Linked DNA regions of Caenorhabditis elegans. The protein of the gene in region 2 purifies or fractionates together with the protein of the main gene of each other region. This does not show direct contact. Each region holds a gene or a part of one and is shown on either strand. Other genes may lie near its edges.

Region 1 (4,800 bases), on a different chromosome or scaffold from region 2:
AAAGTCTCTTAAAGTTTACATGTTTTCTTGAAATGTAATGGATCAAAAATACACCACTCTTCAATTTCAGCCAGAGCAGGCACCAAAATCATCTCTACATCTACAAAGGTGACAACGTGGAACGTAACGTGGAAACGAAAACAAAAATGAAAACGTCGAAAACATGAAAACGTATAAATGAATACAAAGTTTTATTACTGAACTCAGCAGAACAGTTTTTTATTTTTATTTTAGAACGACATTATACAACCACAGTAAAAACAGTGACTATAATAATTATTCTATAAAGAAAATTAACTTTGTTGAAAATTCTAAAATCTTATAAATACGGTTGATCAGTTACCATGTGTTTGTTACTATTTGTCAGACAGGTAAATTTTTTGAAAAACATAGCCACCAAAATAAAAACACGCAACAAAGTCTCACGTGGTCATTAAGCACCAAATTTGAAACTAGTCGCAGTAACATGGAAGGTTATCTTTCCAGTAAAACGTCATGCCACTAATGTTTGCTGCAGCTACGCAACTTGAATTCCATGTTCTTATCAGATAACACGTTGTATAGTCAAAAATCTAATGTGATGTCTGTATCATTGTGTTTGTCATGATCTTTTTGTATATTTTAAAAACCTATTTTCAACTTTTAATGTGATTTTTGTAATTCTTGAAAAAAGACGACCGTCAAGCATTATGAGGGACAAAAATTCATCTACGAAACATTTACTAAAAATTTAACGTTTAAAAAATTATTTATACTCCAAACTAGGTATTTTCCTTGTTTATCCGAGAAAAAAACTAATAAGTACGTAATCCAAATAAGCATTTGGCAAAATTGAAGATTTAATTAAACTGTCTGAAACGAGTAACTTATCGGAAACAGTCGTAAATTTCAAAAAACATTCAATTCTTTTAAACTGGGTGTCTTCATAAAGTTTGCAAAATATACGAACAACAGAGAAAATAAGGCAACAATCGGTGAATTCATAAAATAAATATATTATACTTTTTTTTGAAGTTTATGGTAAACTTTGATTATTTTCTATTATTATTTTCGATTGTTTCCCACTTTTTGTTATGCTCTGAATATTACAAGAAAAGTGAAATACATTTTGGTACGTGTGTATTTTATTTTGAAAGTATATTGAAGTTTCTACAAAGAATTTTTTTACATTTTATATTAAAAAGATTTGAAATATTTCATATGGTTTTTGAACATTTTTTGATGTACAGCAACCACATAAATTTCAATTTAGAAGTAAATTCTAACAATAAGAATACACGTTTTTACTATTGTCAAATACCTGAGTTCAATTTATTCTATTTTTTTCTCAAAATGATATTATCCTATTCCATTCTCCAATGGTATCCTTTAAATGAGTGTAATCTCTCACCCGCAGTTTTCCGGACAATTAATTGTACTGTCCTTCCCGAAGACCAGCGCCAATGATAAAAAGATGACGTCTTGTTCACGGGAAGACACGATACTGAATGGGTCATCTTTATATCCAGGGAAAAGATTTAGGTCAACAGCAGCAGCCCGTTTGTCCTTGTAAATCCGATCGGGCTGACGGCGCCCAACGGCACTACTCACAGATTTCTTCACGTTCAGTTCTCCCTGTTTTGTACTTTTTGGATTCTAGTCTCGTTTTGATGTCTTGTTTGATTTAAACCGTGTTTGATAACTAAGTAAATAGGTGTAGTTTATTTCAAGGCCTTTGAAAAAGTCAATCAATTTGCAATTTGAAAACCGCTTCGAACTTTTTAATCTTTTTAATCTATTCATTAACCTAAAAATTTCAACGCTTTCTTATTTCAGAAAATGTCTCTTCAAGAAAAGTTCGACGCTGCTGTGGAAATCATCCAGAAACTTCCAAAAACAGGTACGTTGGACTTTGATTCGCTACAATGCTACAAACTATGCTATGATGTAGTTGATTCAAAGCTAAATTTACAATTTTTCTAGGACCAGTTGCCACCAGCAATGATCAGAAGCTTACCTTTTACTCTTTGTTCAAACAGGCTTCTATCGGAGATGTGAACACCGATAGACCAGGAATTTTCTCCATCATCGAGAGAAAGAAGTGGTCAGTTTTTTTTTTCATTATTCCTTTGTCTGATTCGAAAAAGGGGAATTCTTTTTTTCTTATTTCATTGACAAATGAGTCATGACCGCGTGGCTAGCTAAACTGCATCAGAATTGCGTGAGTTATGTGTGTTGATTTTTTGACCGCAATATATATTAACTTATCGCTATGCAACAAATGTCGGCGTTGTGTCTGCAAACGATGCAATTATCATTTTCTTCGAATATGGTGCCACAAAAAACGAGTAGGAACGGATGATTGTGAAATTATCAATAAAAAGTTTTGAAGAAATGTAGAGTGTCGTTTCTGATCATTGGTCTCTTCAAAACCATAAACTATGTTTGAAATACCCCTTAAAAATAACACGAAGCCTGTATTAATGTTTTCACGTTTGTAGAAACATGGATTCAAAAAATAATTCCGTTCATGGGTACTTGTGTAGTTACTGTATCCCACAATGTATGCAATGGATAAAATTCCAAAATGACCACAACGTAAATAACCATTTTAATGCTCAATTCATTTTTAGGTTTAGATTTTTCCTAAGTCTAAAATTCAAAAAGAACTCATATTGTATTTTTGAAAAAAATTAAAAAGATTTTTTGGTGTACTGATATTACACAAGTACTCGTTCATGAATAAAAAGAACGAACCCATCAAACATATGTGTTGGTGGAACATTATTTCAATGCTGGCGATAGTGAAGGTTTTATTCTAAAAGGCAATAATACAAAAAAGGCAATTTAAATACAAGTATTATTTAAAATCAGAAAGTTTCAAAAGAACGAGTGATCGTATCTAATTATAACAGTCGTGATTTTGAAACATCCATAAAAAGGTAGTATATCTTGTAATGTTTTCTATTTATTTCATTGGCTGGCGCTAAAAAAAAAGTTGTAAAAGTGTGGAGTGCTAAGATCGCAATTCTAAACAGACTGCTGGTATAATTTTTCAAACACCGATTTTTAGTGCACTTTTAATAGTACACATTTCTAATAAAATGTACAATAGTAATTGAAAAAGTTAGATGGGTCAGTTCCAATAACTCAAAATAGTTTAACTACTTGTCTGAAAATGGTACGTTGCGACTATTGATGTTGAAGCCATGTAAAAATAACAATTAATTCCAACTGGCTCACAGTATTTACTGGCATTTTCCTGACCAACCCCAGTTAATCCGATTTCCAGGGACTCATGGAAAGAGCTCGAAGGAGTGTCTCAAGATGAAGCTAAAGAGCGTTATATCAAGGCTCTAAACGACATGTTTGACAAAATCGCCGAGGTATGTGAATGGGTCTTGTCGGCAAACGTTTGAAGTTTTTGTAGCAGAAACTAGTAGTTACGTTCAGAATTACTTTGTTTTCAGGAACTTGATGTTGCCGCTTGGCTTGAACAAATTGACCCAGTCATCAAAACCAACCTCGCTCTCATTGGAAAGTAAATCTTAATTATCATAAACATTTTTTTTTCAAATTTCGAACAATATAATTATTTGTATTGCTTCTTGATACTAAATAAATATGAATTAATTTTGTAAATTGAATAACTCTATAGTTTTACTGTACATTGGAAGAATCTTGCATGAAAATGAAAACTATGAATTGCATTTGTAATAGTGAAATTTGAACATTGTATGTATACATAATTTTTATTGCAGTAGAGTTGAAACTGTGAATAAATTTTAAATCCACAATATAAAATAAAAATGAAAATCAGACGAGCACCCGAGAAGGAAATTAAATGAATTCGGAATACATAAGAGATCAACATAATGTTTGTGTGTAAGAGATAGTTCAATAGAAAGCACGAGGTTAAACATTTCAGATAAAACATTGCAAAGGTTATAAGCGTTCCTTTTTATCCATTTCCTCTCTCTTCTTGTCTTCCTGGTATGCAAAAAACTGAAAAGTGCGGTAGACAACATGCAAAAATATGCAATTTATGACTATAACAAACGACATGGCAGCCATCACACCCAGTGTGACCAGGATTGCAGCTGAAAAATTTTGAAGTATAAATATTCACAAGTAGTATAATCGTTCTCACTGGTAACACTTTCTCTTGATCGGAAGTGATACTCATCTGGATTTGATCGCAAAGCTTTAAGATTGTCGAGGATGTTCCTGTAAATATAGTTGTTTTTAGTTTGTTCCGAGTCTGTTAGTTCCCAAAACCTCGATACATCACTAGTTCCCTTCAACATGTGGTACACAAAAACCAGGAACAAAATTATCATGCCAAAGTTCCATATTACCTGCAACATAATTATACGTTTCATGAAAAAGAACGAAGCAAAAAATAAACATACATTGTAAAACAAGTACGGCTTCAGCAATCCCGAACGTTGCTTTGAGACACCACAAAACAGAGTCAGCAGAGAAATGCAGTCGAATATAAGAAGGAACGCTTCGAGATATCCTGCAAAAAAGAAAAATAGAGAAAAGAATTATATGAATGAATTACAAATTGGATTTTGAATAAATTTAGCAAAACAAGTATGCAAATAGTTGGTATAAACAAGAAATTGTGACGTGCTTACCGTTTAGACCGAGTTTTGAGATGCCCATAAAATATAGAACAAGGTTTATGATAAATCCTAAAAAGGCAAATACTGCAACTGCTCGGCACGCTTTCTGAAATGTTGTTGTTGTTTTTTAAACATTATATTTCAACTTTCTTTTATTATCTGCATCGTAGAAAAACTATTCAAATCACAT
Region 2 (4,955 bases):
TGTCACATCGGTAAGGATTTTAGGAATGAGAAGTTCTTGATCTAAATATTTTCAGTTCTTTGGTAGTGCTGTCGATCGTTTACCGATTCTTCTGATCATTTAGTTCTGCAATGGTGGTAACCTTCAAGGACATCTCATCAAATTTGGAGACAGAATTGGAACTAATGAACGTTTTCTGTATTTGCATGATGCTTCAGCTGGCCTCAATTACATTCATGCAATGTCTATCACTCATCGTGATATTGCTGCTCGTAACTGCCTCATCTCAGTCAATGGTTTTGTGAAGTTGTCTGATTTTGGAATGGGTCTTAAAGTTCGTCGAAATGAGAGTGCAATGAAAGCGGAAGACAACGGTGAAGAACCTCATCTGCCAGCTCGTTATTCGCCTTCTCAAAGATGTCCTCGTATCTGCACCGACACAACGGACCACTGCAGACAAGTTTTATAACGAGGTAAGATTTTCAATCAAACGTTCTTTTGTTTTAATTTTAACTGACATTTTTTTCAGCTTCATGTCCTTTGTACTCAAAAAGGTACATTGTCATTGACCGGACTGACAATCAATCAAATTTGTGGAATCAGTCGTAAACGTGTTGAGCATGTAAGTTTGCAAAATAATTCTTCAAGAAATTGAATTTTCGGTGGGAAGGCTACATTCCACAAGTTGTCATCTGCGATAAGAATGGTAACGAGAGAGATTGGGGTGATGCACTACAGGAGATTTTGGCTAATGTTGTTTGGAGGGGAAAGAAGTGAAACATCGAGTTATCCCGGATCTTTTGAATCAGAACTCTTTTTTATTTGCAACTCGAAATAAATGGCATGTATTGAATTATTTTTGTTTGTTTCAAGAACGCAATAATGTTACTACATATATTAAAGTGGGCCTCAACTGTACGTCATCTAGAGCCTAGAAAGGCCGTCCGTTGTTGGCCACACAAAGTAAGTAGGCGGGCACGAAATAGGCGAGTAGGCTTGTAGGCAATAAGACATGAAGTATTTAGTAAATTATTTATAAACTTTTGGTAAAGAAGTTCATGAAGTTCCAGATTTAAAACTACTAAAAGAAAACGATTTATTCAAAAAGTAGTGTTCTATCACTTATGTGATTATTATCCTAAACTGTACGTAAAGTAGAGTAAAAGTACGAAAAAATGAGAGAAGTATTTTATTCTGATAGTGAGAAAAAGAATAAAATCAATATCAAAGTTCAGATCAAGAAATCTTGATAATCCCTGCATTCTCTACGGCCTTCTTCTTTTCAGGAACTTCAATCTCAACTGAAGATGTCGTCACAGTCTTCTTATTGTCTTCTTTACCAGGTGTCAATCCGCCATTACCTGCATCTGGAGTTGTTGTTGGAGCTGGCTTCACGATCTTCTCATTCAACTTGTTCTTCCCATCCTTTAAGGATGTTTCAGTTCCCTTCTTTTTCTCCTTTTTAATCTTTTCTTGTTCTCCATTGTCAGGCTCGGAATTCGTACGCTTAAACAATTAAATTATAAATCTAAAAAACAATAAAAGAGTACCTCTGGTTCATCTTTCGTTGGAGCTGGTAGATCTTGTGACTGCGTCGTAGCTAATGTTTTGGCTTCTTTCCGTTTCCGTGACTCAGACAATAGAGGTTTTGTGACAGTTTTTGAAGGTGTCTTTTTCACGTTTCTGTCCGATCCCTTCTTACTGAAAGTATATTAAATTGGAAAAGGAGGGATGTTATTAGGGACAAAAAGGGACGTCCCGTGCGACAGCGGACTACAACCGGATAAATAACCGGACAAATGGTTTGCCCGATATTTTCCCGCTGTTCCCGGAACTCCCCGTATGCTCATAACAGCCTCACTCACTTCTCAACAGATTTATCTCCACCATTGGGAACTACTTCCTTCTTCTTCTCGTTTGATCCTTTTTCTGATGGTGCAACGTATCCTTCTCGTGATCCTGTATACACATTTGTATCTGGTTTATCTGTCAGATCTGATTCTATAGTAGGAGAGGTTGTTGCTTCTTGATTTTGAAGCGGTGTTTTTATGTGAGTTTCGTGAGTCAATGATGTGAAATTCCCGCTGAAAATTGCTTTCTTTTTCATTAAAAGTGAAGCAATTGGATGTGAACGTACCTGACCAAGGCAGTCACAAAACAGTTTGCAGTAGATCCGATTGGTTTGAACGTGAGTTTCAATCCTCTTTCTGTCACCAAATTCACCAAAAAATCTCCTGCTTTCTCGCAGATTACTCCCATACTTTTCAATTCGTGAAGGGGATACATTTGGCCAATCAGAGGTTGTCTGGAAGCACATATTTTACATATTAAATGGAAATACATATAGTCATTCCCTGCATAGATATTCGAAGGTGTGACTGGTACACTTCTCCCCGCCGGGCGTGTAGCGTACCCCCTTAGAATGCAAATTGCCAATTTTTTCAAACTCACGAGTAAATGAAGATTTTTCCAGCCGGCTCACCATCCACTTTGACCAGAATCGCCTTTTGTTGTTCCCATTTCGATCTTCCTATCTTTACCTCTACTTGACAACATCCCGAGTTCGGAAGCGAGCACAGAGAATTCTGAGTTTTTTTTAAATGAAAAGAAATGTTACTCGCTTTATCCAAGAAAAAGAAACGTACCTGCTCTGGCAGTGAAATGTATTTTGGTTTCACCGAGCACATAGTTTGTTATGAATATTTTAAGAATATTTAAAATTGTGAAGATATCGAGAAATGTTCTTAATTTTTATGAAATTGGGGGGGGGGGGGGTATAAGGACGGAAAGGCTTTTTAAATAGAAAAACAGAAAGTTCACGCAAAACATAGTTAAAATTTAAATTTTTTAAACAAGTTATCTTCTAAATGAAAGCGTTTTCAGGGCCGATAGACAAGGAGGCAAACGCTACACAATTTGAAATTTATGATACCGTGAGTTTTTATCTGTATCGAAACCTCAGTGTGTCAGTTATTTGAAAACATTTGAGAGAAAGTTACAGATTACCCTGAAAGTTGAAAAACTCTTTCTTCTGAAATTTCAGATTCATGAAATAGGATAATTATAGTTTAAATCCCTCGACTCTAAATTTATCTATTAGTATATTCTTCCGTAATTTCTTGTTCTCAAACTAAAGATCAATTGTTCAGGAAACCCGTTCTGAATAGTTTTTCTTTGCTTTTCTTACACATTGCAACAATTGTTATCTACTCCTACTCCGAATGTTTGTTCTCCACTTGTCTATTGACCGTTAGTCTTTCTAACATCACATAGTTAAGATGACATAAAATGGCTTCATAAAAATGTTGTCTTTTTGTTTGTTTGGTGATTTTTTCGCCTACGATTTATAGACTGATCTAATAGAATCCGTTTACATTCACAAATAAAAAACGAAACGGAAAAAAGTGATTCTTCATAAATACCAGATTTGAAATGAAATTTTATCAGAAAGCTGCTGCTAAAATAATCAAATATCATAGTAACACTTCAAAAAAATCATTTAACATTTTTTAAGTTACATTCAAAAATGGCAATTACTCAATTTTCACCTATTCGGCTAGGTGGTACGATTTTTTGAATTTCGATTGTGTTTTATTTATCTGTATTCAATCAAACGTCGTAGTATATGATTTGAAGCATTGATCAAGTTCAAATTTTTCAATAATTTGGCAGTGTGCCGAAAACTTTGACTGAAAATGTCAAAAAAAAACCTGAAACACTTCAGTTTCTATTTGGATATGTAGAATTTTTGACATTTTTTAAAAAGTATGTTTCAAAAAATCCCCATTCACGCTGCATTATCTCAAACAATTAGGATCATAGCTTCCAATTTTTTCAGATAAGAATGATTTGAAATGGCTTGTCTTTTGAAGATGGAACAACAATTTTAGAATTTTCAAAGAATTCAATCAAAGTTTTGAAAACTTTTGAGCTTCGCTCGACTTCTAAACTTATATCATCTGAGTTTTCACCACTGTTTTTTTTCGATAATTGAATATTTTAACATAATTAAAACGGTTTTAAACAATATTTCATCTATTACAGTTTTTCTTGAAACGAAGTGATATCCAAACTGCCATGCCATACTGAGAAATGTTTGATTGTCCAAAATATTCAATTCGATGTTATTGTTAGTAAACTTTCTCATCAAAAAGAGCAGTATTTTCTGGTAAATGTCACACAAAAAATCGACCTGAATATTTTCGTTTTTCATTACATGAATTGTTATTTTAAATAAATTACGTGGTTTAGAAATGTTTGATTATCTTTAAAAGACAACCGATTTTTTTTTGTTACAATCAGAAAACTCCACAGCCATAACTTCTTTCTGATAACTTAAATTTGAGAGCTGTAAAAAATTGGAAATTTTCAGATTAATTCCCTATTTGTTCGAGATCTATTAAATTTTTCATTTTGTAGATATTTTAAGCGCTCCCTACGTATCTGTGAAAACATGTCATTTCGAAAATATAAAAATTTTGTAACTAGTCGTCAATCGTAGAGGACATTTCACTCCAACCTTGACAAGAACACCTTCCTCCACATGGTCCCCTATCATCTTCACCAAAGTACGACTTATTAATGCCTTTTTGTCTAGACACAGCTGTCGCTTTCTCTGTGACCCTACCGAAAAAAAAAACTATTTTAGTAGAATAAAAAGAAAAATAGTGGGATTTGTCTGATGCCCAGAAAACACGAGAAATCGTTGATGAAAAACCAAGCGCTGTCTGCTCCTGCTGTTTTTTTTTTTTTGAATGACATCAAACATCATGGCTCTAAAACAAATAAATGATCTGAACAAGAATTTATGAATCTTATGAAAAAGTAAATTTTCAGCAATTTGCCGATTTGTCAGAATATTTAATTTTTGACAGATTGCCGATGATCAATTTACCGAAAATATTTTAAAGGGATTTTTAATAAAAAAAGTACTTGTAACCAGGGGTGCCGGACAATTGCAGTTCGGCAATCGAATT

What was found.
Region 1: the proteins of C15H7.4 (region 2) and acbp-3 fractionate together in Caenorhabditis elegans (co-fractionation; one large-scale study listed by BioGRID). This does not show direct contact.

What each region holds. Positions count from the first base shown.
Region 1 is NC_003284.9:10,901,463-10,906,262, forward strand, and holds acbp-3 (Acyl-CoA-binding protein homolog 3), read left to right. Parts: upstream 1-1,809; 5' UTR 1,810-1,818; coding exon 1,819-1,879; intron 1,880-1,962; coding exon 1,963-2,083; intron 2,084-3,271; coding exon 3,272-3,365; intron 3,366-3,449; coding exon 3,450-3,524; 3' UTR 3,525-3,626; downstream 3,627-4,800. Other genes in the region: F47B10.8 (MARVEL domain-containing protein), read right to left, coding at 3,925-4,079, 4,130-4,206, 4,258-4,337, 4,392-4,501, 4,623-4,716. UniProt on the Caenorhabditis elegans protein: Binds medium- and long-chain acyl-CoA esters with very high affinity and may function as an intracellular carrier of acyl-CoA esters.
Region 2 is NC_003281.10:9,653,194-9,658,148, forward strand, and holds C15H7.4 (PH domain-containing protein), read right to left. Parts: upstream 2,710-4,955; 5' UTR 2,667-2,709; coding exon 2,625-2,666; intron 2,565-2,624; coding exon 2,431-2,564; intron 2,285-2,430; coding exon 2,117-2,284; intron 2,064-2,116; coding exon 1,845-2,063; intron 1,681-1,844; coding exon 1,530-1,680; intron 1,486-1,529; coding exon 1,216-1,485; 3' UTR 1,161-1,215; downstream 1-1,160.